Arabidopsis thaliana: one gene and its partner. The protein of the gene in region 2 interacts with the protein of the main gene of each other region in a pairwise test. Each region holds a gene or a part of one and is shown on either strand. Other genes may lie near its edges.

Evidence for each region. The genes of interacting proteins can lie anywhere in the genome.
Region 1: the proteins of MBD4 (region 2) and IAA2 interact in binary tests that used the Arabidopsis thaliana proteins (3 or more experiments, as listed by UniProt).

What each region holds. Positions count from the first base shown.
Region 1 is NC_003074.8:8,179,989-8,183,704, forward strand, and holds IAA2 (indole-3-acetic acid inducible 2), read right to left. Parts: upstream 2,108-3,716; 5' UTR 1,959-2,107; coding exon 1,525-1,958; intron 1,433-1,524; coding exon 1,081-1,432; 3' UTR 658-1,080; downstream 1-657. UniProt on the Arabidopsis thaliana protein: Aux/IAA proteins are short-lived transcriptional factors that function as repressors of early auxin response genes at low auxin concentrations.
Region 2 is NC_003074.8:23,293,628-23,297,266, reverse strand, and holds MBD4 (methyl-CPG-binding domain 4), read right to left. Parts: upstream 1,983-3,639; 5' UTR 1,874-1,982; coding exon 1,826-1,873; intron 1,355-1,825; coding exon 842-1,354; 3' UTR 641-841; downstream 1-640. Other genes in the region: AT3G63040 (uncharacterized protein), read left to right, coding at 58-621; AT3G63020 (hypothetical protein (DUF3049)), read right to left, coding at 2,228-2,842. UniProt on the Arabidopsis thaliana protein: Transcriptional regulator that binds CpG, CpNpN and CpNpG (N is A, T, or C) islands in promoters regardless the DNA methylation status. Plays probably a role in gene silencing.

The DNA of each region.
Region 1 (3,716 bases), about 15 Mb from region 2:
GGAAATAAAAAGCTGTAAACTCCTGAAGTTTTATTTATTTATAGAAAACAACTCTTTATATATTTGATTTCCAAATAATCCCAAAACCTTGATCATATGCACATAAGAACCCTATTAGAAGAGAAATGATTTTTTATTACTTGGTTCACATAATGAAAAAAACATACTTGAAAACTAGTCATTGGCGTTCGGTATTTTGGTTCAGTTCCGGTTCGAGAACTTCCCATGAGCCCTTTTGTAGTCTAAAAATCTATAATCTTAAATTGTGTTTTATTAATATTATTATGTTTTTATGTAATATTAATAACCTTTACCCTAGAAAAACTAATATTATTTTCTCAGTTTTATTATATTAAATTGTGTTTTTCAATTTCATATGTTATCAGACTTATATTATTATGTAATATTTTTTTACAATTGGTTGAATTGTTTAGGTTAGATATTAATTTCTGTTTTTAATATAACAAAATTATTACATAATAATTCTTGCAGTTTAGCTAAAACATCTAATAAGCTGAAGAGACAGAGTCATTTACAATTCATCAAAAAGAAAAATTGTTTTTGAAATCTTTTGATCGACAAGGCCTATCTATAGAATTGTGGATGTGTTTTGGGAAGGCATTATAGAAAATTTGTCTCATGTGGTGGTAAATGTTTTGCTGAATAAGTAAATAATAACCTTGGTTAAACTTTAAACAAAAAAAAAAGTTAATAAATAACCTTGGCTAAACAAATGTGTATAAGTTTCTGAAATTTAAAATATTATGTTCGTGATCAAGAACAGAAAACTGATGATCTTATAGGACATAACTACTTAATACATTATACATCTATAGATTGTGTATGTGTCCGTATTATACATAAAATCTCATGTATCTTTACATCAAACTTCAAATCTAAATACAAAAACAAAAAGAACATCACTAGAGATGGATCTCTCGTCGGACAAAACCCCGAAGTTTCGTCTTTCACGGTCAACTTTAGTCAAACTCCGATCCGAATCAAACCAAAAAGGGTTTTTCATTCATCGATCATAGTCATCATCTCCTTTTTAGACAAAAGATTCTCAGCTTCTCTGGATCATAAGGAAGAGTCTAGAGCAGGAGCGTCGGATCCCTTCATGATTCTGAGTCTCTTACAAGAAGAAGAGAACATGTCCCATGGAACATCACCAACCAACATCCAGTCACCATCTTTATCTTCGTATGTTGGTACAAATCCAGATCCTTTGTATCCTTCTCTCTCACAATATTCACCAATCATGACTTTGAACATATTCTCTAACGCTTTGAGAAGCTCGGGGTAGTTTTTGTATGTCTTGAGATCGATCTTGCGAAGGTAAGGAGCTCCGTCCATACTCACTTTCACGTAGCTCACACTGTTGTTGTTCTTACGGGAAGATCTCACTGGTGGCCAACCAACGATTTGAGTTCTGTAAATTTGAGGAAAGAAAGATTAGTAAAACTATTCAAGAGCCAATAATTTGAAAGAAGCCAATTTGAAACTCAGATCTCTTCTACTTACTTGGTAGGAGGTGTAGATTCTTCTTCATCACGAGTTTCCTCAAATAGACGCTTGTTGTTACTTTTAACGCAAGAAACCTCTTGTTCTTCTTTGATCTTCTCTGTTCTTCCGGGTAATCCAAGACATAGCTCTGTGTCCTTAAGGTTAAGCTCGTTGACTTTCTCGTACGCCATTGCTTTTGGATCAATATCAATCTTTGTGTTTCCTTCTTGTGTGTTTTCTTGGGTACTTTGTTCTTCTTGTCTTGTTCTTCTTCTTCTTGTTCTTGTTCTTGGTGAGCTGGTTGATGAGTTTTGGAGAAAAGGGGAGAGAGATATATATAAAGGAGCATCGAAGTTAGGGTTAAAGGAAGAGAGAGAAGTGTTGTCGGAAGCATGAAAGGCAAGAAAGAGGCAAGGGGACAAAAGTGGGACACGAAGCTTGAGGCCGCCCATGTGGACACGACTCTTTTGTTTAATTATTCCACGCTCCTCTTTTCCCTCCGCCAACTTTGTTTACGTTAACATCTTAGCCGTCCATCTCTATTGCCTCTTCTTTTTCTTTCAAAGGATGTATAATAATTATAACGAAAGAATATAAAAATGAATGAAATGATGAGAATTCTATCGGCCGACCCGGAATAAAAGCAAACAGAGAAAATATAAATAAAGTAAAGACTAAAGAGGTGTATTATAATAACATTTATTTACTGTTTCTTAAAGGTTTCTTCTTCTCTTTTTGAAAGTGTATAGTGCAGGTTATAAAGAAAATATCAAGTGCTAATGATTGTTAATCCATTTGTTGCATAATAGATATTCTTAATATATATTTAAATATAATGTGTTGTCTTAAAATTTGATGTGAAAGTTGATTATTATTTTTAGTTTACTTCTATTGATTTATTAATTTTTAACTTAAAAGATTAATAGATGTTTTGAAAGTATGATGTAAAAATTTCGATTCAGAAGAAAAAACGTATGGTGTAAAAAATGGTTAAAAGGACACTTATGTCAAATAAAGTACTATTTTATTGAATCCTGATTCCAAAATGAAGATTATTTAGAGTTTCCAAGTACTCTTATGTGTTACGAACTATTGAATGTGCATAAGTTGAATTTTATCATTTTTGCTCGTAGATGTAATTTGATTAATAAAGAAATATTAGTTTTATGGTTAAATCTCAGATAATATCGAATATTAAACGTTACATATTTGTCTTGCGAAGACATATTTATGCGTGGCATTTTGTATATTGTGAGTTGGAAAATGTTATAACATTTTGTGTGTAGATTTTGATTTTATAATAGGAGACGAAGACCCATGTGGATAAGGGTCAAATGTGTTGGTAATTGATAGAGGAATGGTAAAGCCATGTGCTTTCTTATGTGTATGTCTCTTTTAATTATTCATTTCCCTTCAAAATGGGTTGTGGGGGAGAGAGGTTCCACGTGCTATGTATTCATTGAATCATAAAACTTAAAAGAATGAACCAAAAAGTGGTAATTAATTTCTCCCCATAGATTACGCTTAACTATGTGCATTTAGCTTCTAATCCGCATGCGATTTGATGTTAACGTTAGGCTTTATTCAATGGATTTACCAATTTTGGATATTATTTGTTTTCTCTTCTTTTAAGATAAAGATTCCTTCTATGTTCTTGCCCCTTCCATCACCAAAAGATTAGATAAGTAAAAGCGATGCAAGATACGTTGCCTCTCTTCTTATAAGTAAATAATTTAGAGGTTCTGATTGTCAGAGTTTTATGTATTATTTCCAGTTAATAACGAACTCATGCAATGTATTTTCTCACAAACTGAGAGATGCACGAATGAATACCATTTGTCTGTTAAATATTGCACGAATGAATACTAAAGGTTAACCATTTACAGATTTCTAGAATCACTTAACATGGTGGGAAACAAACTTCTTGAGAATAGTTTTTTCCTGTTTGTGTGTTCATGCATGTTTTAGTCTTAGTGAAAATGTATTATAGAAACATAACTACTAGATCTATGTGATGCTTTATGCTTATATAGATGATTGCTAAAGTTATTTGTTGGTTAAACTAAACCTTTTTACTGAAAACCATTTAAGAAAGTACAAGAGAATTCAGTTACTGTTTATTATGGAGTTAATTCCATGAATATATATTGAACATTAAGTTTTGCCTAAAAAACAATATTGAACTTAAGCCAAATACATAAATCATTTTT
Region 2 (3,639 bases):
CCCCTCTATATAGTATAACACAAAAATTATCATCATAACCTATTACATCTATAAAACATGACTAGAGGCATGATACCAACAAAAGCAAAGGTAGTAGTCATCTCACTGATTTGGGCTATTCTGGTGTTGGAAAGTGCAACAGTGTCAAGTGCAGTAGAAGATTTGGTGGTGGAACAGTGCAAGCACAACTGTAAACATGATATCCACAACAAGAAGAAAGAGTGTGAAGATAAGTGCAATGAACTGTTGATGATGGAGATAGAGAAAGAGACAAGTGGACGACAAGAAGAAGAACACAATCCCTTCTGTGAGGCATTTTGCAACCCCTTTGAAGGACTCTTTCAACATTGCATGGCCGTTTGCCCTCGCACCAAGTCCAAACCAGAGATGATGGTCATAGGAGGAGAAGGTGTTGCTAATGAGGGTTTGCAGACAAAATGCAACAGAAAATGCCTGTCTTACACCGAACCGGAGGCCTATAAAAAATGCATATCCGGATGCTTCATGTCCAACGAGGAAGTCTGTGAGACATCGTGCAGTATTCTTCAAGAGGAACCGCTCACTATAAGGTGCATGAGGATTTGCCATGAGAGAATTCCCGGAGTTGTAGCCTCTACTTAATGTTTTACGAGGGGACTTGTAAGGAATAAGTGTGTTTCTTTGGTGTAAGAATCCAAATTAAAAGAATATTTAACATTTGAGTTCCGGTTAAAGAAGAGACAAAAGATCATATTTTTTTGCTTAGAGATGTTAATATCATAACAGTTTTAGAGAACATCAAATCTATAAAGACTCAAAACGCATTGCTTTAGGGAGCAGAAAGAAGGTAGAAGAGAACATATTAGTTATGGCTCTGCTTGACACTGCTCTTCTCTGAAGTAGTGGTAGTAGTGCTTGGAAAAGGAGAGCCAAGCTTCGGATCAGGGGGAACAGTATCTTCCATGACCTTGGGGACAGTGAAATTGAAGTCTCCAAGTGGTGCGTTCCTGAATTCCGGATTGGCTTCAACGAAGGCAGCGATTTCATTGCGACTCCTGAGCTTCTTCCCGGTAGGAGTAAAGTAGTAGGTATCCATCTTAGAGTAATCTTTTCTGAGAACTAAGCTTCTCTTGAAACCTTTAGGCGTTTTGGGGAGACCAGGCTTGTCAATGACCCAAGTCCGAGAAGAATCGTAGTCAATATCAGCAGGCTCTTCACAAGACATGCCCTGTTTCTTCTGACAGTTAAAAGGATCCTCGAGCATTTTACTTCTGATATCTTCATATTCCTCCTGGCTATCAATCACCCTCCACTTGTGACAGTTATCGCACTGTGCAGCATAGGTATCAATCAACCTCCCAGGAGCAACATCTTTCTGCCATTAAGTCTCAGTGAAACAACCCCACACAAGACTTGTGAGCGTAGAAGAAATATATAATGTAAGGCAAGAATAAGGAGCGACACTACTCCAGCAAGCGTTAAAGAAAAGAACCAAGGCTTTCTTAGAGCAATAACTGAAAGCAACGACACATCACGAGACTGACTCAAAGTTTGCAAGACCAAAGATTTCAAAGTTAACTACCAACAATTTACTTCCAAGCACCAAAAAATCGTGAACCCCAAAACTGATAACCTAGAATTCTATGCCTTGTATAACTTCCTCCATCAATAGTAACTACTAATACGGGATCTGAGATCTCCAAAGACAGTAAGAACACGAAAAACGCATGCACTTTGACCGGAATTATAAGAAGGTTCGCATCTAACACAATAAAGAGAAGAAAAACGCAAAGAACGGAACCTAGAAAATGGAAAGCGAAATATATGTAAGTCATTGTGGGACTACCTTGGCTTTTGGTTTCGCTGGTTTTCCGATCTCCTCCTCTTCCTTCATCTCACTTACTTCCCCAGATTCTTTTTTAGTAAACTTTTTCTCCAAATCTTTGTGTCCCCCAAAAGTAAAACTCTCTCAAATAAGTCTTCCTGCGAACAGTGTGATAACCGCACAGCCTGTGCTTTAATGTATCACTGTGACGGACAAATCATAAATTAACACGTCGGCTTGAGCGAATTATTTGGGCTTCAGGCCCAGGTTTGTTTTGCAACAAAATATTATTATGGGCCTAATATTCATAAGTAAAGCCCATAATTCCCTTTTCTTATCTTGTTTCTAACGGATCATCGGACTACAATGTCGTTTTTTCCCCCCGGAAAATTAGCTGAAAATATCAAAATTCTAAGAGGAAGATCAGTGATTCTGTTTATCTTCATTATCATCTTCTACTACGTCGTTTTGTTGACTGATTCTCACTGTTCCGATTCTTAGTCCTTCTCTCCCACGAACACTAACGATCTCCGGTGAATCTACTGCCACGCTGGCAATCTCTAACCGTCCTTCGCTTCTCACTCTCCTGTGATGAAATCTCGGCCGTCCGTTACAATCCAGTGTCGTCAAAAATGGTGGCAGATCTCGCTTCCTCGTCACGCTTCTTCCTCTCCGCGGCGACGGCGCCTTTGATCTCGACTCCGTCAGCAGCGGCGGTCCATACGGTCCCCACGGCGATATCTTCCCTCCTAGATAGAAACTGTAACTGTTATTTTTCGAAGAACACGAGAAATATTCGTCAAGAATAACTCCACACACACCTCTATGTTCCCTGCACTCGTCGTCGGGATTCTCGTGGTCTGATTTTATCTCTAGAGATCTGCTCACGGATAAGCTTTGAAGAGGTTCGCCGCCGGAATCAACAGGAGTGCTCCAGCGCCGTCGATGGGAATGCGTAGGCGTGTCTTCCTCTGCCATTGACGACGTGCGGTGTTCTTCATCTATATCTCCGGTGAGAATCGTAGAGGATGACGTCATGATTAACATAACCGCTCGTCCTTCCCTGTTCTCTACTCTCTACGATCGCAACTCTGCATCATTTTTTGGGCCTTAAACGAGATTTAATGATTTATAGTATTTGGTGGGGCCTCTGCGAGAGGTTTTGCCAGCGTGGCAAACAGATCAGGATTTACTCATTTAACGGGCTTTTGTAAACCATGACACCTTGTAAGTAAATTGGTCCGCATGGTCAAATTAAACCTTGTCTTGGAAAAATCTTTTCACCTGTAAAATATTAATCTCACCGTCCTTTTTCTGGTGGCAGTAATTGTGAACAAAATCTTAAATCATATTAACTTTAATTTTTGGGAAATACGCATGCAGCACATCGAATGATTTTTAAAAATATTACATGAATTTTTCTACGAAAATTTTGAAACTAGTTTCTAAACATTACTACAGTATTAACTAATGGCTGCAATTGAGAGGGTGAAAACATTGAATTGGGTCATTCCCCATCAGTTTTAAAAAACTATAAAGTTAATTGGGTCGTAATTGCATAAAACGTTATTTCTTTCCCGGAAATAATACTCAGTTCATTAATTTGATGGGCTTATAGAACGATATTCTAAAGCCCATTATACGGGCCACAAGAATCTTTTGAGACACTCGACAAATGGCAATCGCTAAAAGCAAACCCAAAATGTTTTAACGATATGTGATAACTCCTGAGCCATGCATGCTAATTTTGCTATGTCATTTTGTAAGAAAACACGTTACTACAAGTTGTCTTTGTTTAGACCGTTAAACGGCATGCAGTCTATTATTCTGGACTA